Xenopus tropicalis: one gene and its partners. The protein of the gene in region 5 purifies or fractionates together with the protein of the main gene of each other region. This does not show direct contact. Links are inferred from orthologs where the notes say so. Each region holds a gene or a part of one and is shown on either strand. Other genes may lie near its edges.

Region 1 (4,960 bases), on a different chromosome or scaffold from region 5:
AAAGCGTTTCCCTTTTCACTGTTTAAAAAGCTTGAGGTACACCTAGTGATGTTTCAGCTTACTGCTTGCTGTAGTTCTTCTGTGGCTGGTACTTTTTTATCCTAAAAAATGGGCAAACTTTAGGCAAAATTTAAAATTCAATAATGTTTGTTTCATTTGACCAATAGAAGTGACCGCTCTTTCTTTTCTTGCAGTTGACATGGACGAAGAAGATGGCCGGTGTTTGTTAGATGTGATATGGTGAGTAGTCAACATAAAGAAAAATCTTCAGCACACCACTTACATACATGTTCTCAGAGGGTGCTTAACTTCCACGGCCGCTCCCAAGCCTTTTCTCCATGTAGCTTTGCAAAGGGAAAGAAGCACACCAGTTGTGTCGGCAATGCCTTTAAATCATTTATTTGCAGAAATGAGCAAAACAGCACAAGCTTTCGGGGGTGACCCCTTCCTCAGGTGCAATAAGTATTGCACCTGAGGAAGGGGTCACCCCCGAAAGCTTGTGCTGTTTTGCTCATTTCTGCAAATAAATGATTTAAAGGCATTGCCGACACAACTGGTGTGCTTCTTTCCCTTTGCAAAGCTATATGGTGAGTAGTCCCTTCATACATCTTACATGATTTGAGATTTTAACTTGTGGGTAAAACTAAGTAAAGTAATACAAATAGTAGGCAGTCTTGCACATGAAACATTTATTTGGTGCACACACCAATCATAGATTTTTCCAAAATTCAGAAAAATTAACCATACCAAATGGAGATAGCTACCTCAGTGCTCCATGGTCCCTGAACTCCACCCTTCTAATGGAAAATGTGTTGTGGTGTTGCATCTAACAAACACACCAAATATCAGGATTTTTTTGTTCTTTCTTACATTTAAGGACTCGTACCACAGTTTAAAATTTATGTTATAGAGCTGACAAAAATCAGGTAATTTGTTTCTGTATGTATACAATAAGGTGTTGTTGCTTGTCCTACAGTTCAGTAGAACTATCTAATGCATAATGTACTACAAGTGAGGATCCTAAAGCTGACAAGCTTAGATGCTAAAAAGTTAATATAACTGAATTTATGATTTAATCAGCAATTTGTTTTGTTTTTTTTTTTTGTTTGTTTTCACTTCAGTGACCCCCAGGCTCTGAATGACTTCTTACATGGACCTGATCAGGTGAGTAACTGAAAGCAAAAGGCAAACACTAGTGGACCCTTAGGGCTAAACTCCAGGGGAGATTTGTATGATGGCGTAGGATTGACAAAACGTATCCTACAAGTTGGATGTAGTTGCATAGGTTAAAATGTAATGGAACTGATACAAAAATCTGATGTGTAAACTACATGAAAGAATTGCTATCTAACATGACATGCTTGTTGGAAGGGAATACTGCATGCTGCATCTTCATCTGATGAGATAAAATCTGATGGTGTCTGACGGACTTTTTTTTTCCTCATTGACATACATTGTTGGATGTAGCATGAACAAAACATTTTAACTGACTTAACATTACAGCCTATGAGGATCAGATAAAATCTGACCCACAAAATCGAAATCTCCTGTGGAGTTTAGCCCTTATGGCTGATGACCCATAGAGCGAGTTAGTCATCTGCAATAGATCTCTGCTACTGCGGGTGACTTACCTCTAGAAATGCCTTTCCACTGGCAACAATAGGAGTCGCAAGTGGAAAGGCCTTTGGCTTTCTGGAGTTGCCTGCAGGGTTCTATCACGGGCGACTAACTCGCTCCATGGCCCATCAGCCTAAAGGTGGATGTGGCTGGAACAAGAGACAATTTCTTTCATTGTAGCCTTTGGATATCTGATTAAATAGGGGCAGATTAGTCAAAATGTGAGATTAGAGCTCACCACAGAAAAATTTACCCACTTTTTATTTATTCTCATGGGATTTTTATAAGTATATATATCAAATACTGGTCTCTAAAGTTCACCCTTTAATAAATAAGGGATCTTTCTATAAGTATCTTTCTGTAATTTTTATAATCTCCCTACCTTAACTACACTAAAAAAATCATTTAAACCCAATGGGATTGTTTTGCTGCCTAAAAAGGTTAATTATATCTTAGCTAGGATCAATTACAAGGTACAGAGAAAAAGAAAATAATTTTTAAAAATGGGAATTATTTGATTAAAATAAGGTCTATGGGAGATTGCCTTCCCATAATTCAGAGCTTTCTGGATTACTGGTTTCATATTATTATGTAAATAGTAATATGAGCCATAGTTAGACTGAGCTGACTAACTAGTTTGCTTTTTTTCTGCAAAAATATCAGAGTTATTTGTAATCATGGTATTTGTTCTTTTCTCTAGATTGGAGGAGATGACCTCTTGGATAACACAGGAGATGCTGCAAGTGCCTTCTTTGTGGGCACTGGGGTAATTAACTTTTTCATATGTTTAATTTAATTAAAAAGTACTAGAAATTTACTGGCACTTGTTTGGTCAGTGGTTCTCCACTATATTTTTGTCTAAGCTTTGCACGGGTTTATCACCGGACATATTTAAATATTATTACAAGATATAATACATTTAGTTATTTTCAGGATGTTACAAGGGGTTCACATAGCAGTGAAAAAAATATTTGGTGTTGAAGCAAATTTTTTGAATGATACTTGTGTAACTTTAGGCTGCCTGTCCTGTCAGTGCAGACTTATTGAAACCTTTTAGAGTCTTCTTTTGTCCTGTCAGGTCTTGATAGGTCTTAAACTCTAATACAAAACTAGTTCCAGTGTGTTTTGTGAGCAATTATTCCTAAAATTGGGCCTTTCCCATTAAGTGTCCCCCCCCCCCCCCTCAATTTAATTAAATTAATAAATGGCTGAGTTATCAAAGCATTTTGAATCCTTCTTACAGCTGCCCTTTATCTACACTGGCAGGATGTCTTCCACCATGTCACCCTTAGATCATAGAGCATAGATCATGTACATTTCATATTTACTGCATTATATATCTCAGGTTTAAAGTGACAATAATATACTGAAACTATTTTTTTCTTAAATGGTTTTTATCCGTTTTTTTTTTTTGTTACAGCTTCACGTTCAGGAAGCTCCCGGAAACCATCTAACAACAGAATCTAACCCTCCCACAGCAAGTGTAGATTTAGACTTTTTGGAGGATGATGACATTCTTGGGTCCCCTTCAGCTGGCAGTGCTAGCCTTGCCAGTGCTGATCAGCCCTGTGACATCCTTCAGCAGAGCCTGCAGGAGGCTAACATTACAGAACAGACTCTGGAAGCTGAGGCAGAATTGGACTTGGGCTCCTTCCAGCTTCCCACCCTACAGCCGGTGGTGCAGGCCGCCCCGGATGGAACCCCCCAGATATTTTCTGGAGGAGCTGACCTTATCGGGCTGCAACAGCCAGCAGTGTTGACCCATCAAGCCCTGGTACAACAGTCTGTAGGGGCAGATGTGGTCAACAAAGCTATCAGTGTCCAACCTTTTCTTCAGCAAGTCGGCCTTGGCAATGTTACTATTCAGCCAATCTCAAACCTCCCAGGACTACCAAATGGCAGCCCTGGTGGGGCGCTTGGCATTGGGCAGATACAAGTGGTTGGACAGCAGGTCATGGCCATTAACCAACCTGCACAACAGCTTATTGCCAAGCAGGTGCAACCAACTCAAGTTGCTAACTTACCTGTGGGCAGCTACTTGGCAGGGACAAATACAGAGCAACAGCAAGTCACACTTACATCAAGTGGAGTATCACCACAGAACACAGGATTAGTCTTGCAGAACAAAATCCCAGCAGTGGCCACAACGCTTAATGGGAATTCTATGTTTGGTAGTGTGTCTGCAGCACAGTGTACTCAGTCCCTCACAGTTACATCTAGCTTAAACAGCCCGGTTATTATTCAGCGAACTCCAACTCCTATTCAGCCAAAACCTGCTGGAGTCCTGCCACAGAAACTGTTCCAGATATCACCCAAACCTTTTAATCCAAACAATGCTACACTTACCATTCAGGGAGAGGCTGCACTGCAACAGCCAAAGACTCAGCAGAATTTGGCTTTTATGACAGGTAAGCCAGGACCAAATGTGGTGCTGTCCGGCTTTCCCCAGGGACTTCCCACAAATATGTTTAAGCAGCCACCTTCACAGCAGCAGGCACTTGGCAAGCCAATGAGTGTTCAGCTTCTAAACCAAGGCAGCAGTATTGTCATACCTGCCCAGCATGCCCAAGCTATGTTGCAGGGGCAAAACCAGTTTCTTCTGCCTGGCCAGCTTGCAGGGGCATCAGCCGTCCAACCACTTTCTGCCCTCCAGGCCAATATGGGAGGCCAGATCCTTGCTGCCTCCCATCCTGGTGGACAAGCTCACATCATTGCCAGCCAGGGCCCAGGAGGCCAGCTACTCAACCAGGCACTGCCTGCCCAAATTCTTACTAACCAGAATATTGCTAGCCAGTTGAACTTGGGACAGGTCCTCGCATCCCAAAATGCACATGGCACAGCTCACATCTTGTCAGGGCCAATTCAGCTGCAAGCTGGACAGGTTGGCCAACCCACCTTATTTCAAATGCCAGTGTCTTTGGCTGGAAGCTTGAGCACTCAAAGCCAGGCGTCAGTGGCTACATCTTTGAATCAAGCAGGGCAGACAGTAATCCAAGGGGTAACTTTACCCAACCAGGTTGCAATGTTCAATCCGTCAGAGAATCTTGGGCAAGCAGTTAGTATCCAGCAGGCACCTACTGGCAACAGCCAGAGCCCAGGCATTGTGCAGCAACAACAAGCTCAGCAAGTTGTCCAGGGTGCCAGCATCCTTCCCAATGCAGACCAGCCCTCTATTTTGACCGTCCAAACTGCACAGCAGGCTTCTCAAGGCCAGCCCCAGCTTCAGTTGAATGTACAACAGCAGACACAATCTTTAGCTCCTCCACCACCTCAGCAAGCTGTCCAGTCTCAGCCCAGTCCCAGCTTGGCCACTAGCCCTGACAAGATTATCCTTGGTGGAGCG
Region 2 (4,889 bases), on a different chromosome or scaffold from region 5:
AACAGCTGGACATTTACAGACGCAATATCCCTGGATAACATTTTGTTTGTCACACTGGTTGGTCCCCATATGATGATCTCAATTGGCCTGGTACTAGACAGTTCTTTAAAACTGTGCCCAAAAATACAGACACTCTCCCCCAGGTTCCATTAGCTGCTTGTTGCCTTATTACTCACAAACACAAAGAACCCTGAGCGTCTCTTGCACTCTCTCTCTGTCTCTCTGTCTCTCTCTCTCTCAGACCTGTTTTCTCCTTCTATTACAGAAAATCAACCGCAATAGCCAAGTGCTAAAAGGGCGACATCTACAGGTGAGTCTGGAAATAACAGTCACGGAAATAAAATAGCGATGCAGCAGCTCCCAGGGAAGGCAAAATATCGCCCTAATAGCGTCAGTCCTTGGCTATAGACCTGGCTGCAGGAGTACAGGGAAGCGATATATGGAATATTTTATGTCTGGGTCAATCCAGTGGCGGTTCTTGCCCAGCATTTTGCTCGCCGGCCTGGTAAGGAATTCCCTTATCTGCAATAATCAAACTTCACCACCAGGTGGCAGTGTGCGCACACATTTCCTGCTACAACCCGTCACTGTAGGGACAGTACAAGTCACATTAATGATACTCTGGGGCCCTTTTTGGAAAAAGCAGGGGGTGTTTTTGTTTTTGTTTTTACATTTTCCCAGCATGCCACTGTTTGGCATATCACTATGCGGCAGATGTCTGAGGAAGGGGCATACCCCCGAAACGTTACCCAGTTTGCTACTAATAAACAGTAGGGTTCATCCCGCTAAAGAAATCCTTACTGTGGCCCCCGCATACAGGCACAGGGGCCCCTAATATTTAGACTGACAATAAGCAGTGTGAAGTCTATGATGGGGTCGTAACTAGGGATGCACTGAATCCACTATTATCGGATGCAGATTCGGATTCGGCTGAAACTTTCATGAAGGTTTCGGGGTTGTGCCAAATACCGAATCTAGATAAGAGGAGGGATGAGATGGAACATTCCCTGATCATTTGTTTTCTTTCCCTACAGATTGAATTGCACAGACCCCCACACTGGGCCTGCGGGGGGGGGATCGGTAATCGACAATGATAGTTTCTCATCCCCACTCACATGCAATCTGATTGTCAGCTCTTCAGCCCAGTTTCCCCAGATCTGTGGGCAATTCCATACAACGATGCCCTTTGGCTCATCCCTGTTCCTTGTGGGTGGGACCGGCTCCCTGTTGCACCCATTGTTTTATACTGTTTTGTACGTGATAAAGATTCGACTTTTCACTGGAAATCGATTATTTTGTAACAAATAAAAAGACAGAAAATGAACCCAATGTGTTTAATTTGTTCCCAGTTTAACCCTGCAGTGCCCAGGGCTGCCCTGCATTATTAGGAATGAATGGGAATAAATGTATTTAACATTTGCCCGGTTTTATGGTGCAACCCCTGATTGGACAGTGTTACCCGACCACTTTATTACTTATTATCTACACAGATGCAAAGCCAATTCGCTGCTCAGAGCTCATTAGTAATTAGTTTAGATACATGAGCCATGGCTGCTTGGGAATTGGTGTAGTCTGCAACATTATTATTATTAACATTTATTTATAAAGCGCCAACATACCCCGCAGCGCTGTACAATAAGTGGGTTCCATACATTGGGCATACAGAGTAACATATAAAGCAATCAGTAACCGATACAAGAGGGGAAGGGAGCCCTGTCCAAAAGAGCTTACACTCTACAAGGAGTAACATATAAAGCAATCAGTAACCGATACAGGAGGGGAAGGGAGCCCTGCCCAAAAGAGCTTACACTCTACAAGGAGTAACATATAAAGCAATCAATAACCGATACAGGAGGGGAAGAGAGCCCTGCCCAAAAGAGCTTACACTCTACAAGGAGTAACATATAAAGCAATCAGTAACCGATACAAGAGGGGAAGGGAGCCCTGCCCAAAAGAGCTTACACTCTACAAGGAGAAGGGGTTGAGACACATGCTCAATCCTGGGGCAGCTGTCTAGACAAAATAGAGTAGAGTCCCGGGAGGGTTTCTGGGTATTTTATATATTGGAGAGATAAAGGGACTTTACATTTACAAGTGAATAAACATGCAGCAACAACGCTAATAATGAGAAATCGCCCAATAGATGTATTTCCACTTTCGTCCATTAGATGGCGATGCTTCCTTTGCTTTTTACTCATTCCTATCCATACACTAAGGTGCGACATCTGGTGGTTGGATTTGGAAGTGCAAAAGAATGTATGACAACGGTTGGGAGATTCTCCTTATAAAACGCCACTGTGTATAAGGGCAAAATCCGGCCAATCAGGGGCCACAAGTGCCAGGGCCCAGGAGCGCAGTCTGTCAGTAGAATTAAATGTATTGGTGTAAGTATATATTTATATAGCGCTGCAGATTCCATCAGCATGACATGGATATTATAATATATAATACTGACATTTATACTTCGTACAGAAAGACAAATATAAATTGGAAAATTGTATATTTTATACATTTTTCTGCATTTCTCCGCTTTGGATTTGAAACTGCAGCCTGGTTGCTAGGGTGTAAGAGAGGGGCGTGTCCTGGCAACATGACACTCCCCACAAGAGGAGTATATAATGGTGGATACCAGAGGCTGCAGTGATACAATTGTGCAGCAGTCGCAACCCCCAGAGAGAGCGGCAGCCATTGGAGCTTGGGGCATGAAGCGAAACAAAATGGCCAACAGGACTGATTCTCTACAGGCGATGGAATTCACTGTTATGGGGGCTCGGGGTCCCGGGGTCACTTTCCGGGTTACAGTCAGACGCACTTGTTCATCTTTCCACAGGGAAAAGCTGGTTTTGTGGAGAGAATAGAAGGCGGGAAAAGATGCGAGAGGAGTAGTAAGATGGCCGCCAGCCTGTGAGGATTATCTGCCCATTATGTCTCGGTCTGTACAGAATCTCTTTAGTGCCGGGGCGTCCAGAGACTCCTCCTCCTCTGTCAGAGGCGGGAACATGGCGGCAGCGCTGGGTACCTGGGGGGAAGGGAGAATTTAAGATTCTATTGAATCCCTAGTAGGACACTAAGTGCCACATAACGACTGCCAGGCAACCCTCCAATCAGCTGTAGATTCAGTTGGAAGCCCCTCAGTGCCACCCAAGGTCCCAACATGTCACTCACCTGGGCTGCAGGGGTTTCAGCCACCGGCTCCTCTTTGGTTAACATTGGGGGTTCATCTGTTCTGATGGGGAGCAGGGGGGCACCATCTGTACATACAAATAAACCAATCAGTCCCACCCTGTCCCTATTCTGCCCCTCAGCCCCACCCAGAAGTCATCTCTATGGTTCTTACCCCCTTCTTGGCCCAACTCAGGGGGCTGGAAGTCCTCAGTCTTTGGCTTGGATGAGGGGCAGGGACTGACATTGCGGCTCAGTTCGGGGGTCCGACTTGGGCTGTCGCTTCCCTCGCCCCTCGCCCCAGAGGCATCCGAGAAGGAACTGTTATTGCTGTCATCTAATTGGCACAGAGGCACCCGTTATGCTTTTATATTAACCAATAAATACCCTGTAAATTACTTCCTCATAAATAATCCTTAGTGATGTCATCACTTCTAACTGGCACTTAGTGATGTCACATGATTCCCTGACTTACTGGCACACGTGTATCCTAAATAATAATTTACAGAAATGTAAATGGTGGTAGAAGAAAAAGGCCAATAAAGCACCTGCCCAGGTGGCATTTACCCAGTAACATGTGACCATTCCCATTCTGAGCTGCCCAATCCCAGCACTTCTCTCACCATTGATCTCCATCATTAGCAGAGCCTGGCTCTTCCTGCGCCTCTGTGCTCTGCGCTTCTGTTGGTCTGTGGGAGTCTGGGCCCCAGGCTTCTCCTGCAGAAGGGGATCATTTGGGTGGGACAGAGATATTAGCAGGGGGTTTATAGTAAGGAGAAATGTGCTCTGCAGGTTTTCAGCAAGGAATAAGGTGGTCTCTAAGTTTATTGCAAGTAATTAGATGTTCTGCAGGGAGGTTTATACCAAGGACTGAGATGTTCTGGGGGAGTATAGTAGGGACTGAGATGTTCTGGAGGTGTATAGAAGGAATTGAGATGTTCTGGGGGTGTATAGTAGGGACTGAGATGTTCTGGGGGAGTATAGTAGGGACTGAGATGTTCTGGAGGTGTATAGAAGGAATTGAGATGTTCTGGGGCAGTATAGTAGGGACTGAGATGTTCTGGGGGAGTATAGTAGGGACTGAGATGTTCTGGAGGTGTATAGAAGGAATTGAGATGTTCTGGGGGTGTATAGTAGGGACTGAGATGTTCTGGGGGAGTATAGTAGGGACTGAGATGTTCTGGGGGAGTATAGTAGGGACTGGGATGTTCTGGAGGTGTATAGAAGCAATTGAGATGTTCTGGGGGTGTATAGTAGGGACTGAGATGTTCTGGAGGTGTATAGAAGGAATTATGATGTTCTGGGGTTGTATAGTAGGGACTGAGATGTTCTGGGGGTGTATAGAAGGAATTGAGATGTTGTGGGGGAGTATAGCAGGGACTGAGATGTTCTGGAGGTGTATAGAAGGAATTGAGATGTTCTAGGGGAGTATAGTAGGGACTGAGACGTTCTGGAGGTGTATAGAAAGAATTGAGATGTTCTAGGGGAGTATAGAAGGAATTGAGATGTTCTGGGGGAGTATAGTAGGGACTGAGATGTTCTGGAGGTGTATAGAAGGAATTAAGATGTTCTGGGGGTTTATAAAAGGGACTAAGATGTTGTGGGGTAAAAAGAATGAACTGAAAAGTTATGGCGCTTTATAGCAGGGACTTATATGTTCTTAAGGCATATAGAAGGGGCCAAGATGTTCTGGAGGTATAGAGAAGAGACATATATGTTCTAGAGGT
Region 3 (4,165 bases), on a different chromosome or scaffold from region 5:
TGAAATTCCAAACAGCAGAGCTCCTGAACTGAAAACGAAATAACTAAAAAAACTACTATAAAAAATGAAGAATAATTGCAAATCGTGTCAGAATATTACTCTCTACATCATACTAAAAGTTAACTCAAAGGTGAACATCCCCTTTAAGAAGTACTAAACACTGGTCCTAAAGATCATTTATGGTCTCCTACATACCTAGAGGCTAAATACCTTCCACATAAATTACAAGGATTATAGTTGAGAAATATTTTATAGGCAGATGGTGGACAAACAAAGTTATTCAATAAATCTACACTTAAGATATTTACTTTTTTGGTGTTACGGTTACAATTTGGAAGTGAGCAGCCCCTCCAGTGATTAAAGGGTGTCGTGCATTTCTACAATGCCATCTATTTATAATGGTAAAGAAACTTGTGACACCCTTTAACACACATTTCGTATATAAGTTTTGTATATAAAAGTGGAACAAATTATAGTACCCTTCTTTGCAAAAAGCACCAATTAAGGATTTATGGCCTGTTAGTGTAAATGCGAGCTACTGCAGACTCAATGCTAACCTTAAATAGAGAGTTACACACTCCTACTTAAAATCAGCCATGATTGGTACTATATGTCACATAACCACATGAGCACAGCTCAAGATAAATATAAGGGTCTGGAAAAAAAACAAACTTAGAATAAGCTGCAACACTTTTAGTATTTGTGGTATAGTTTCACAATGTAGGTATCATCTTATAGAATTTTGGCACTACATATTGAAATGATCATTCCTATCACTGGTATCCAATGATTCAAATGCCTAAGCACAAAAAGCCTAAACTGTTAAGGAAAGCCATTGTTTAAAAACAGACTAACTTCACTATGACATTTAAAGAAACCTTGTCTGAATAAACATGACAATAATGAAAGACAATACTGGGATACTGTTGAAAATCTAGTCCATGTAAATTGCGTTATTAATATCTATTTTGCTAATGTCAGCAAAGAAAATACTAACTGGTGACAACACCTCATTAAAATCTGTATCTAAAAATAGGCTAATTATTCACAAGACAACAAAGGTCAGGAACAGACATGACAAACATTATTAATTGTTAGCGTCAAGCCCACTAAACACATAACTTCACCCTTTAAAAGAGACTGTGTACCAAAAAGTGCAGAATTCAGCCTACCCAGAGTATGTCCCGCATTACTCTGAATGGTGTTACAGGACTTGGGCAGTCCAAAAGTTATTTAAAAGCAAAGGCCATAAACAAATTACAAAATAAAGTGCGGATGACATTTAATACATAGAACTGTGTAGAACTATTCTTTGGGATTGGCTCTCTTATCAATTAATAAAGCCAACAAAATACATAGACAGAAGTTTTCATTGCCAGTTCTGGTGGGTTCAAATAACTTTTTAAATAATCACCCCAACGTGGAATATTCTTCCAACCTGTACAGTGTTCCTTACCCTCCAAGGAAACAATAATACTGCAGCTACACTGTCATATGCAGTGGAGAAGAAATGTCACAAACTTACAATAATACTGCAAATATGTATTTCATAAAGCCACCAACTCTGCATAAAATAGGGAAATATTTGGCCTGAAACATGCATCAGCATAACTATTCTCTACAGGTAAAGGTATACTTATTAAGCTTACCATATAAAGCAAAATTCTATCTAGTTTAACAAGACAACAACAATTGTTTTGGCACCAGATTTTAGATATTGCTGGACAATATAAAGAACACTAAAGCTACCTATGGAATTCAAGCTGCTAATTAACATACATGGTTCTGCTGTGGCCACTTGTTTTAAATAGGGATATACCCTACGGCTGTTGGGATCTTAAATGAAGTGTTTTGCATGTTCCACTGGCAGAAAAGAATACTGGAGAATGTCAAGTTTATCTCAATGTGAGACAAGGGAGCAGAAATTTGGAGAGCTATATAAGTACATTGGGCACTAAGGCCAATTAGGGCTAAAAGAATAAAAAGAGAGAATTTCCTAAAAAGACAAAAACTGGCAAAATTGGCAACAGATGGTGCTACTAAGCTAAAGGCGAGCACTGGGAGAAATGTCCAATCCCACCAGCTAAAGTCAGATTAAATACCAACACATCACTTGCAAAGTGCGATAACGATTAAAAGTGCAGCTCCATCGGCTGAAGCAACGACAGCACAGACACAGATAAAGACACATCACGTCATAGGCTGGTGCGCATAAGCTGGAAAGTTTTCCTCGCAGATGCTCCGAGGAAGTTCCACCTTGTTGTCTATATTCTACCCCGGCGGGAAGCCCGGAAGGAAAAGCGTATGAAACGGCGGTGGCACCTGGTGTTCCGGTCCTGGTCCCGGATCTTCTTCTCCATTTCGGCATCAGTGAGGGTCTCCAGGAGGGGGCACCACTGGTCAGCATCGCCTGTATTTCGAATAGCAATCTCTACTGTCGGCAGTGGGTTTTCACTGAAACAAGAAAATAATGTGAGAAGGACATGACTATTAATGGGAGTTTTAAAAGCATAGAAACCATATAGAAAGGCACAAAGTTTCATAGCCACATTGGGAAATCCTATAAGTACTAAACATTTGCCCTAGAATTATACAGTTGGCAAGCAAAACAAATTTCATTTTAAAGTCAGTTAAAAGCAGACCCTTTTTTTCATGACTATCTCATAACCAGCACTAAGCAGAAGACACAGCTGGAGTGGCTGATGAGGAGGAAAAACATTTGTTTGTGTGTGAAGTACAGGATATCAGAACATTAATTGTGACTCTGATAAAAGAGCCACGTCAGATAAAGGTTTACATACTCAGAAAATGTTAAACTGATCCAAATGAATAACAAGAGAAGCCTTCTAGCTATGCAACTTAGCGCTAGGGAACAAAGGAAACAGATACAGAAAGACAACATGCAATTTTTTTTTTTATTTGCAATAATGAAATTAAATGGACACAAGTTTTTATGCGTCTTGAAAAAAATAGGTAATGTTTGGTAAAAAGGGGGAATATGCTATAGGAATTTAAATTAAAGAAAAAATCACTAATCTTTACTCACTTATTGTACACTTGCATAGACCAGTGTCATTAAATGGTCTCCATCCCTTTTCTTGAAATAGCAGCAGTCCTGTCTTAAAGGAACAGTAACACCAAAAAATGTATATATTTTAAAGAAATTAAACTATAATGTACTGCTGCCCTGCACTGGTAAAAATTGTGTGTTTGCTTCAGAAACATTACTAGAGTTGATATAAACCCTGGTGTGTAGCCATGGGGGCAGCCATTCAAAAGAAGAAAAGGCACAGCTAACAAATAAACCCTGTAGAATACAATGGTGTCTTATCTGTTATCTGCTATGTAACCTGTGCCTTTTCTTCTTTTTTCAGCTTGAATTGCTGCCCCCGTGGCTACACAGCAGCCTATTTATATAAATTAAAGTAGTGTTCCTGAAGCAAACACACGAGTTTTACCAGTGCAGGGCAACAGTATGTTATATTTCAATTACTTTAAAATACTTTCATTTTTTGGTGTTACTGTTCCTTTAAACACAGCAGATTCTTCCGATTCTTCCACTGTAGCTGCTAAATCGGTCTAAAGGACCATTATCAGTCCACCTAGAATCGCCCCGTGTATGGGCAGGAACAATAGACCTGCCCTACCCACATCTGGCCTGAAATTGGGCAGATCTCGATCGGACAGGTTTGATTTTTCCATCGGATCATGGACCGCATTGGTTTGTTGATGTGGTCCCTGAACCAAAAGCGCATATACCCGCCGTTCTAATTTGAGTACCCCGAATTACCCCGGTATAGGGAGAAGATTTGCTTGCTTGTTTGGTGAGGATCTCACCATGTATGGCCACCTTAACTATAAAGGTAGAGGCACACAAGGATCTGTTTAAGTGCCAAAGAGTCATCTGATTTACCTAAATAACCTAAAGCAAATCTGCCTGCAAGAATGGCCCAAATCACTAATAAGTGAATAAAGCTAGTACTTAATCCCAAAAGACTTAAAGCAGCTACAAAAGGTGGCAAAAGTGTTGGTACTGAATGCATAAGAAAGCCATGCATTTTTAAAATTCCCTTTCATACCTTTTGCAAACAAACACTACTTATTATTTGAAAACTAATAAAAGAATCATAATAAAAAGCAACTTCTTCTAAAGATATTCTTGAAG
Region 4 (4,960 bases), on a different chromosome or scaffold from region 5:
CAGGGTGATTTTGTAACTAGGATCACAGACTAGTATCTAACAGAACTACATCTTACCTAATGACATGATTGATTATAATTGGTTCTGGAGGCATGAGGAGGGCATGCAATCTCTGTGGGATCTCTGAAAACTTCATCCTTTGAGACTCAAATATCTGGAGGATGGAAGGAAAAAAAAAAACATTTTGTTGCTGATGAAAAGGTGTATGGAAAATTGTTTATATTCTGCTACTGCACATGCAGCACTATAGATTTTTATAATACAATAGTACAAACAGGGTCAACACATACTGTGATATATACAATATTTGCCATATGAACTTTGTTACTGTATTTTTTTTTAGAGACATAGGATACAAAGAGACAGGGAATTCAATAATGCCAAACAAGTATATGAGTTAAACAGCCTCCCTGGAACTGCATGGGTGTCCACTTAGGGAATCAGAACAATTTGATTAGAAAGATGTAGCTATACAGGTGTGAACCATAATGTATACAACAGCCTACCCTGTGGGTCATCTAGTAAGATATTCCAAAAAATATGACCAGCATAAAGCCAACCAGGACTGATAACTCTTATTAATATGAAACATGCTTTATTACCTGATAACCTGTACTGGCTATCAGCATCCCAATTTTATTCCCAGAGAGCTTATTATGTTCTCCATCTATACTTTAGCTTATGGTTTGCTCATTAAAATACTACTGTACACTGTAGAGTCTCTAAGCATTTGGGTAGCTCCCATACAGACAAACATAATAACCTGAAGCAGATAGAGCCTGTAGTCTATTTTGCACCAGAAATTACTTGCATCAAATAATCCGCTTTTACCACATGCCAAACATACACTAAAGAACTGGAGAACTTTTCCTAGTATTGCAGTATTTGCATAATTAACAACTGTGAGTGTATAGATAGGTCAGTATAGGTTGTGTGTGCTGGGTTTAATTGGAAGGGTTGAACTTGATGGACTCTGGTCTTTTTTCAATACAATGGAACTATGTATGCTGTATGTGGAGAACATAATGGGAACAACAGAAACACTTAAACAAGTAGGGCACAAACTTACAGTTACAATCAGATATTAGGCTTTTCGAGCGTAAACGGTTTAAAGCAGGGCTTTGTTTACTTTTTGTATTAGTGGTATTTCATTGGAAATAGGCACTTACCTGCTGCAGATACTTGTCACATATAATAAACTCCCGTTCATGAGGGTCTTGAAGTTTGTGAGTCTTAATGTACTGCCAAAGAGCTTGAATGATGACTGGACGAGTCTGAGTGTGAATCCCAAGGAGGCGAGCCAGTCGGGGATCAAGTTTAAATTGTGGTGGCTACAGTTAAAAAACACACACAGAACTCAAACACACAGTCTGTGATAGGAATTTGTCTTTCATCGCTGCATTCACAGAAATATTCTTCAAATAGTACACACAAAGAACACACCTGATAGTCAAGCATCAGTAACACGGTGCAGCGCACGTTCATATCCCCAGGGCGCTTCACCTGAAAACCATCAGTCTCCTGTGTTGTAGGAGTTCTGTGCCACTAAGAATGAAAATATTACAGTAACTTAGTGTAACTCTATACAAACAAATAATGTAAAGACTGTCAAAATCAATATATTGGTAGTTTACAATGTTTAAAATGTCACAAAATGCAAAGAAAAATTGACTGATTTCCTATTCATTTCAATGCTCACTCATATTTTTGATCTGTAAAAGAAAAGCTCTATAAGGCCAATATCAAAGGCTATTTTGGCTGCTGATGACACCACCAAGGACGAAAACCGCTGCATACAAAAAAACAAAAATCCCTATCCACCTGTCCATAGTTCCCAAGGTAACAGATAGGAAACAAGCCATGCATGCACTTTACTGAGTGGAGGTACACCTTCCAGCAGTATGTGTGATTCAGGCACTGCCTTTCTCTTCGATTGCTGAAAGCAGTGGGGGAGAAAAACCCCTGTGACTGGTCAGTGGAGCATGTGCTGGTTTGCACAGGGGCAATCCAAAACAAGAACTTTAAAGTTTAGATAACCCAAAGGCTGTACTTCCTTTGCCTTTCTTTAATTAAAATGGTCAAAAAAAAAGCTAGACTAAATGAAAATATTTTATAGCAATGATGGAGTTTTTACCAAAAGCTTCTCCTTAAAATGGCAACACTCCTTGTATTGATCACAATCAATGGTTATCAAACATACTGTGTCTTATTCAATGGTAAAGCAGCCTTGTTTGCTAAATATTTTGCTGGCTTTCAGCAAGTTCACAGTGCTCACCTCCACCAGGTGGTTATCCGGCCCATACAGGTCTTTATCCAGCTCAATAACTAGTGACTTAAAAAAAGATGAGAACTTTCTCTTCTGTTTGGTAGCATCATATTTAGAAAGTGCCGCCTGCAAAAAAAAAACAAACACCCCTTAAAAAGTACTCATTCTGTAAATATACTATACAGCAACCTGCAGTGTAAGGGTCCCCATACACGGGTCGATTATAGCTGCCGATATTGGATCCTTGGACCGATTCGGCAGCTTATTGGCCCGTGTAGGGGCAGAACCGAGGGGCCTGGCCGACCGATATCTGGCCTGAAATTGGCCAGATATCGATCGGCCAGGTTAGAAAATCCAGTCGGATCGGGGACCAAATCGGCTCGTTGATGCGGTCCCCAAACCGACTGCCCCATTGGGCCAAACTGCCCCAGGGCCGAACGATCGAATTCACCTACATGCCTCCCCGATATCGCCACCTGTAGGTGGGGATATCGGGTGAAGATCCGCTCGCTTGCCGACATCGCCAGGCAAGCGGATCTGCCCATGTAGGCCAGCTTTAGAGAGAGATAACACACAGCAACAAATCAGCCACTAGCATTTACTGGCTGTCAGTTTGAAACAGACTGACTGGTTGCTATTGTCAAACTTAAGAATTACTATTACAATCCCGTGTAAGTGTATGAAGTCATAGAATAATCGTTTTCATCCACACAAGAACCTGTTATTTAAAAGGCCAGTAACATTAAAATAATGAAATTACCATAGCATTATTTCTCCCGATACATAGACCTGGTTTATTTCAGCACATTTGTTTTGAGCTCTGCTTTGTTTAGACATCTTTTATCTGTTCTCTAAACAAAGCACTGCCAGGTCAATTGTATTGAATGGAAACTTAGATAATAAATACTTATGAGCTGCCCCAAAAGCCCTACCAGAACAAGTACAGGTATTATGAAACACACATATATCATGGTTTCTAGAAATGGAGACACAATTACTGAGCACAAACTAAGTGAATACTGTATATAAATGCTTTTAGGGCCTTTCTAGTGTTAATGACCTTAATACCTTTTTAACATACCAGTGGGTCATTCTATCAATTTAAAAAGAAAAAAAAACGCACAATTATTTTTGTCTATTTTAAAGCAATAGTGGATCATTGTGTGCAATGTATTGCCTCCATATTTACCCTCTGATCCTTCACAGCTGCGGTCTGGCTCAGGTAGCTTGTTATTCTGCATCCCCATGAATTTAAAGGGACAGAAAGATGTTCCACTTTAAACAGGGTGATAAGGTTGATATAGGCTTATTCCCATGCTGCTGTTAAAACTGCAATGTTTCACTATCCCTTTTATACCGCCTTAAAAAGTTAAGCTCAATTAACAATGACACTTCCCCACTAGTAAATCTTTCTGGTATTTAAACAAGCGCCTCATCCAGATCTACCAAATAAATAGTCACTTATAATTTAATATATATAATTAACTAAGAGCACTGCAAATATTGTATTTCTTATGCTTGTCCACTCAAACCAAGTTCCCCAACAGAGAACAGGTTTTGTTAGAAGCACCAATATGGTCAGAAAACAGCCGCTGTAGTTTAACAGTTCCCTGTCTCCAACTGCTTTAAATGGCCTTTCTGCATCTTATTATAACAGAAACAGATAGGCCCTTCTTCCTGAACTTCATTAAATGGCACAGAAAGGATCTGACAGCTTCTATTGGAAATATTTCATCTCAATACAGAATTTCATTAAATTAGCTTCGGCTCTTCTCCCTCCCGTCAGCTTATATTAAGCTGAGCCCACATCTTGCTGATAAAATTCAGCGCTAAAATGGAAAATGTCAGGGATGTCATTATCATTCATTTTAACGGCAGTTCCCCTTAAACCCCAGGATGAAATATCCAATAAGCATACCATTTTTTTTTTCTAGAGGTCTTGTCAATAAAACTTTTATCTTTCAGATTAATTACTTTAAAAGGAAATAATTACTTTGAAAAGAATAATAAGTATGGGTCTTATTAACCAGTTTTGAGGGATTCATAAAGCAGTCAGTAAAGAGTCTCCTAACGCCTGTGGAGCACCAATATGACTATATGCTGTAGCCTGTTGACTGGTCTAAAGTATTAACGTAATAACATAGCAGATGAGGTAAAAAACAAAAACAAAACACCAAACACACACATTTTTCTACAGGTGAAACCAGAGGGGAAAAATCCTTCTTTATTCCAATATGACAATCAGACCAGTCCCCGGGTCAGCTTTGCTCTGAGTATTGTCCGTGGCAGGGTATTTTCTGGCATTTTTAGGCCGTTGACAAGTAGCTGCTACTAAGTAGCTCCATGTCTCTTAGCCCTAACAGCTAAGGCCCTGGTCAGTCAGACAGGGAGAGAAGGGGACCGCTCTAATACACATTGCCCTGTAACTACTAGGGATGCACCAAATCCAGGATTCGGTTCGGTATTCGGCCAGGATTAGGCCTTTTTCGGATGGATTCGAATTCGGCCGAATCAACGGTCCTGGCTGAACCGAATCCCAATTAGCATATGCTAATGCCCTGCAAGAGCTGTTGTGTCCTGCTTCCCCCACCTTGCCTGCCCACCGATGTGCCGTACCCTGCTTCCCCTGCAAGAGCCGTTCTGTCCTGCTTCCCCCTGAGAGCTGTTCGTAACTTGACAGCAGCCGTTATGCTG
Region 5 (5,684 bases):
CCCCATTGGTTTCTGAATATGTATGTCCCAGGCACATTAAGTAATAGCTGTAATTTATGGCCTTCTTCACATCTGGCATCTAACTGCTCACTACAGGTACAGGATCCCTTATCCGAAAACCAGCTATCCAGAAAGTTCCGAATTGCGGAAAGGCCATCTCCCATAGACTCCATTATAAGAAAATAATTCTAATTTTTGAAAATGATTTCCTTTTTCTCTGTAATAATAAAACAGTTCCTTGTATTTGATCCCAACTAAGATATAATTAATCCTTATTGAAGGCAAAACAATCCTATTGGGTTTAAATGACGTTTAAATGATTTTTTAGCAGACATAAGGCATTAAGATCGAAATTACGGAAAGATCCCTTATCTGGAATGCCCCGGGTCCCGAGCATTCTGGATAACAGGTCCTATACCTGTATATGAAAACATGATATTGTTATAAGTATTAGTAACCATATACAAAATTTCAAAAACAACCTACTGTCAAAGTACAGAGACCTCTATATAGGTATAAACAATTTAGTGCCACACTGTGAAAGAGAGAATTATATTATACATACTGGGAACATTCTGAGGTTTTTCCTTTGTTCTGATAATCCATTATGCATTGTATTAGATGGTTATTTTCATCCAGCATCTGAAAATTAAAAAAAAAAAAAAAATTTGAAAAATAACTGACTGATCAGTTAAAAAGCATTCTGTACTACAAAATTAATATACAAGATTAAGGTTAGTGTCAAAATGAGAATGTTAAATAGTGCTTTGGCATCATTTCAACACTTCCAACATCCAGATGCACTTTGTTCACCTTTTGGATGCCAATTAGTTCACCTTCCATTCATGTCACTAGTGGTGACTGGCAAATTCCCTTAGGGTGAAGACACATGGAGCTTCTAGTAGCAGCTACTTTTTCACAGATACTAATCGCCAGAAAATACACTGCCAAAAAAGGGTTAGCTTAGTATACACCCAATGTGCAATAGGCCAAAGAGTCATAATTTATCTACTTAAAAGGAGAAAGAAAGGTAAAAACTAAGTAAGCTTTATCAGAAAGGTCTATGTAAATACAGCCATAAGCACTCAAAGAAATGCTGCACTGACTTCTCTGTCAAAAGATTTCTTGTGTCTGTAATTCATATGCCAGAGACACACAGCTCTCTGCTGTCTCCTCTCTCCTGCTCCCCCCTCCTTCAAGTATGCTAAGAACTCACTCCTCCCTTAAGAATGTGGATCTGAGCCAATCAGCAGGAAGCTCACTCATACTCTTACTAACTGAGCATGTTCACTTGGTCTGGGTGTCTGTGCAGGAGTGAGGCATAATGGGAACTTTCTTTACACAGCTCAGTGTTTTTTCTTCCTGTTTGGCTTCTGATCATCTAACAGGTGAAATATGGGGAGACTTAAGGGCACTATTTAGAGAACTGAATGTATGCCTGCAGCTTGAGATTAACTCTTTATTAGCCTTTCCTTCTCCTTTAAAAATAATGTGCTTTAGAACCAATAAAGAAACCCTGTGCATAAGAACTATTGGCAGCCTTTGATTAGTGATACCAATGAAAGTGACACTGCCATGTTCTTGTGCAATGAAAGACTTAGGTTATGGTGGTCAAAAACACAAGAATGTAACCCACTTATGATTTCCTTAGTTAAAGCATGTTTCCCCTTATGTGTATGGGCAAGGGACAAAGCTAATCTCTTACATGCTGGAGTACTGACCTAACTGCATATCGTTGCTTAATTTTATAGCACCAACAATGCACACTATATTTTACAAAAATAAATGAAAAAGCAAGGTCTCTAGCCTCTCAGAACCTTGTATAGCCATGTCAAGCTCTCAGCAGGAACATACAGGACAACCATAGGAATCATGCGGCAGAAAGGTACATTGTGCTGCACTGAGGGGGGAGACAGCACTGTAGAATTTTTGAAGCTATCCAAAATATTCATAGCCATTTAGCTTTGATAATCTTGAAAAATATGTATATATATATATATATATATATATATATATATATATATATATTTACCCTGTACAGTTAGAAACACAAATGTAACTAAAAATTAACAGTATCATATGAAATGCCAAGCACAAGAATCAGAATATATTTATTTTACATATTTCTCTGTGACAACGACTTCATAGAATATCTACTACATGAAACAGTACTTACAGATATACCTGGAGAACTGTGAAGTGTAGTGGCCTTTAATGGCCTGGGCCTACAGCTAAAAGCCATCATGGCTGCTCACTCAGACACAAACACTGTATAAAGGGGTTCCTGTGCAATAGTGTTATTCCAATATGAGAGTGAAATTTTGTAGGAGTCAATGCAAACAAAGTACCAGTCACAAACAAAAACTCTGGTTCAAAACCAACAGCTATGAACAAGGGAGCCAAAAAACAAAAGTAACCTTTTGCCTACTTAAAATAGAATTTTAGCCAGATTATAAATATTGATAATTTTAAACTGATTTCTTAAAAATAATTACAACTGAATGCAATAACAGCCTGTCCTTTGCTGTTCTTCCCACTTTTACAGCAGCCATACATGGTTGAATCAACACAGTATCCCCCTGATACAAGGGGCCAAACACATTAGGGCAGCCTATTATTCTGTTCAGGACATAACTCCATTTTACTTTTCCTCCTCATCAGCACGTACATCCCGCACCTGCTGATATGCTTGTGTCTCAACCCTTTCTCCTTGTAGATTGTAAGCTCTTTTGGGCAGGGCCCTCTTCACCTCTTGTATCGGTTATTGATTGCTTTATATGTTACTCTGTATGTCCATGTATGTAACCCACTTATTGTACAGCGCTGCGGAATATGTTGGCGCTTTATAAATAAATGTTAATGTAATGTAATATGCTGTATTTGCAGATACATTTCCAAACCTGTCTGACACAAAATGACCAATATCCACAGTACATAAATATCTGTCGGGACCATAAGCCCCCAAATGTACTGAAAAGCATTTCACTACGTGCATGGCCATCTTTACTGCTGGCTCTGATTTCTCATACAATGTTGCAGAAGCTAGATTTCAATTTCAACAATGTCTTGCACTTTTTTTTTTTTCTAAGTCTGTTAATTAGCTGCATCTTCTAATTTGTTTCAGTAGTCGGAACAAACAGTACGGAGACATTGGAGATATTGTGTTCGATAGTATTTGCATCGAAGAATAATGCACTGAAAAACTGTAACAAACGTACATTGAAAAGTTGCTTAGAACAGATTTTAATGATCTTTAATGAACCTCTTTAGGGTGGCTGTTAATCCCCAGTGGCCCAGATACAGTACAGATAAAATGGCTCACCAATTTGGCTCTGCTGACACGTTTATGTGCCTTTTTTTGTCCTTACACCTACAGTGACCTTCCTTGGTAATATAACTGATGATAAAAGCTCCAGATACCTTGTCTATGGTTAAACCCAGGCACATACAATATGTTTGTGGCACTTTGCCATTTATTAATCGATAGCATTTAAGTAGAACAGTAAGGACTCCCCACCCCCGTACACTGCCCCCCAGCCTTAGAAAGCACTACACCAGTGCAGTTGGGGGAATTCCCTCCCGGCAGAAGGGCACGACTAAGCAGTTGCATTGAACGTATTTTTTAATATCGGCGCGGTTACCTTTTGAATGGCCGCAGGAGTGATCTCCCCCTTCCCCCGCTGCCTGGGAGCCGCGAAAGCTACAGACATGATACACGAGCTAAAGAAAACAAAGGGAGCGAAGTGTAGGCACGAAGCGTCTCTAAAGGGAAAGACTGGCGAAATCTGGAACGGACTTCCCACTGCCGCTCTCACACACCGCGAGATTCCAGCAAGCGACTCAACAACATCCTAGGGGGGGGGGGTGCGGAAACAAACAGGCAAGCATTTACTCCATACAGGCAACATATATCTAAGAGGCCCTTAAGGGAAGCTCAGACTTGTGTAACTTCTTAATAATAACAACAACAGAATAATCAACGAAGACATAAAATAAACGCTATAACTTCCCAGTCTACCAATACACCCCTGTAAATACAGAAAGGTCTCGCCCAAAAGTTTATACCATAATCCTTTGCGAAAAGAAAAGCAGGAAATGGACAGTTTCTTCCAAATCGTACGTTGTTAAAAACAATCGAGCGAGGATATCCATGTACCGTTACAGTTGAGGGGTTATGTTAAACGTCTATGTTACCCTTAGTAAATGGCTATCGCTATTTTAAGTACCAGCTAATATAACATTCCCCTCGTTTGAGATAATGGTACGACCCATCGGTCAATTCCATATTACCTATTGGCGGGTATGGCTTGCAAAGAAACTAAGGTGGGCTATAGTTTTCTTATTATAACTCGCAGAACTATAATGATACATGGCGTGTAAACTGAAGCGAAGCGACCCTCACTGAGATACAGGGGTTTTGCCCTTCTCAATGATGAAGAAGAATGAACTTCCCAGAAGTTAGGTATTGACACGTGATGAGCTATAAACACGTGTCTTGCAGTGTTTGGCCCCTTGGAATCAGCGATTGGCTGACTTTCTGCTATAAACAATACCGCGAAGTCGATTTTGAGGGCGGGAGTTGCATTTTCAAAGAAACCCTGAATTTGCTGCAAGTTAGTTACAGCAGCTTTACATACTCTCGTTCAATGTTTAACGTTTGTTTTATAATAAAGTATGTATTAAAGTCTCTTTTCCGTCTTTTTTTTTTTTGTTAATGCGAGGTAGAGAGAGAGAGAGTTGTAAAGATTCGGCACTCACCAGTATGGGGCACAGGCTGGGTGCTGACAGAAATAATGCATCAAACTCAACAGTAGAAAGTTTCAGCATACCATCTACGCGTTTCGATCACCACAGGATCGTCATCAGGATGAAACGCGTAGATGGTATGCTGAAATAAATCACTGACCTGATTGATGCTGTAGCTGTGAGTGCTTTCTACTGTTCAGTTATATATATATATATATATATATATATATATACTTTTTAACTTTTTTATACTTTATCATTTTCTGAATAACATAACACAAATTTTGTACAATGCACAAAGGTAAGAAGTCAGTTTGTGCTGTATATTTTACATTATATCACTGCTGGGACAGAAAATTGGCCACAGCCACCTCATAAGAACGCCAGTGTAGAAATATTGTAACTTAGGTTACCCCAAAGTGCCTCTATCACAGTGCTCTAAGACAAAGTATTATTAGCACTCATTTATAAAGTGTCAACACATTCCACAGTGCTGGACAGCAAAAACACTCGCTCCTAAAAAGATAGAGGCGTAGGGGACTTATCTGATGAGCTAAGTTGTCCCTGGTGAAGAGGGGAGAGTTTAGGGTAGCTCCAGTATGTAATGTAGATCCAGTCTAGGAGCATTTACGTAGTAGGAATGTCCCTAGTGCCAGGCAGAGTCAGAGAGGAGTGTTTGCACATCTGGGAGTGTGTAGGCTCCATCCAGATCCATGCTGAGAGCTTGAAATCTAAGATGAGGTTCTGTAGCAACACTCTATACTGAGGACATATATTGGCGTTAGTAACCCAGTGGGTGTGTAATTTACTAGAGGTGAAGGGCCCTAAGTCAGACATTGTAATAATGACTGTATATCATCACTGTGTCAAGAACCATTATATAACTGTTTTGCTATTGTGTTTAAGGTTCACTTTAGGTCAGGCACCTAACCTGAACC

The links. Proteins that work in one complex are often made in the same cells at the same time.
Region 1: the proteins of ss18 (region 5) and bicra purify together in Homo sapiens (affinity purification with mass spectrometry; 3 studies listed by BioGRID and IntAct, counting the BioPlex papers as one, with this or other methods). This does not show direct contact. The link is inferred for Xenopus tropicalis from reciprocal best matches to the Homo sapiens genes SS18 and BICRA.
Region 2: the proteins of ss18 (region 5) and bcl7c purify together in Homo sapiens (affinity purification with mass spectrometry; 3 studies listed by BioGRID and IntAct, counting the BioPlex papers as one, with this or other methods). This does not show direct contact. The link is inferred for Xenopus tropicalis from reciprocal best matches to the Homo sapiens genes SS18 and BCL7C.
Region 3: the proteins of ss18 (region 5) and smarcb1 purify together in Homo sapiens (affinity purification with mass spectrometry; 9 studies listed by BioGRID and IntAct, counting the BioPlex papers as one, with this or other methods). This does not show direct contact. The link is inferred for Xenopus tropicalis from reciprocal best matches to the Homo sapiens genes SS18 and SMARCB1.
Region 4: the proteins of ss18 (region 5) and smarcd1 purify together in Homo sapiens (affinity purification with mass spectrometry; 5 studies listed by BioGRID and IntAct, counting the BioPlex papers as one, with this or other methods). This does not show direct contact. The link is inferred for Xenopus tropicalis from reciprocal best matches to the Homo sapiens genes SS18 and SMARCD1.

The regions. Positions count from the first base shown.
Region 1 is NC_030684.2:79,853,241-79,858,200, reverse strand, and holds part of bicra (glioma tumor suppressor candidate region gene 1 protein), read left to right. Parts: intron 1-194; 5' UTR 195-199; coding exon 200-240; intron 241-1,121; coding exon 1,122-1,164; intron 1,165-2,317; coding exon 2,318-2,383; intron 2,384-3,037; coding exon 3,038-4,960. UniProt on the Homo sapiens protein: Component of SWI/SNF chromatin remodeling subcomplex GBAF that carries out key enzymatic activities, changing chromatin structure by altering DNA-histone contacts within a nucleosome in an ATP-dependent manner.
Region 2 is NC_030685.2:5,704,795-5,709,683, forward strand, and holds the end of bcl7c (B-cell CLL/lymphoma 7 protein family member C), read right to left. Parts: intron 3,880-4,889; coding exon 3,786-3,879; intron 3,500-3,785; coding exon 3,338-3,499; intron 3,252-3,337; coding exon 3,166-3,251; intron 3,020-3,165; coding exon 2,912-3,019; 3' UTR 1,330-2,911; downstream 1-1,329. Other genes in the region: pydc1 (pyrin domain-containing protein 1), read left to right, coding at 266-293. UniProt on the Homo sapiens protein: May play an anti-apoptotic role.
Region 3 is NC_030677.2:153,150,544-153,154,708, forward strand, and holds part of smarcb1 (SWI/SNF-related matrix-associated actin-dependent regulator of chromatin subfamily B member 1), read right to left. Parts: intron 2,455-4,165; coding exon 2,323-2,454; intron 1-2,322.
Region 4 is NC_030678.2:148,807,841-148,812,800, reverse strand, and holds part of smarcd1 (SWI/SNF-related matrix-associated actin-dependent regulator of chromatin subfamily D member 1), read right to left. Parts: intron 2,393-4,960; coding exon 2,276-2,392; intron 1,546-2,275; coding exon 1,444-1,545; intron 1,332-1,443; coding exon 1,170-1,331; intron 155-1,169; coding exon 57-154; intron 1-56. UniProt on the Homo sapiens protein: Involved in transcriptional activation and repression of select genes by chromatin remodeling (alteration of DNA-nucleosome topology).
Region 5 is NC_030682.2:110,346,141-110,351,824, forward strand, and holds the start of ss18 (protein SSXT), read right to left. Parts: upstream 3,711-5,684; coding exon 3,642-3,710; intron 643-3,641; coding exon 566-642; intron 1-565. UniProt on the Homo sapiens protein: Appears to function synergistically with RBM14 as a transcriptional coactivator. Isoform 1 and isoform 2 function in nuclear receptor coactivation. Isoform 1 and isoform 2 function in general transcriptional coactivation.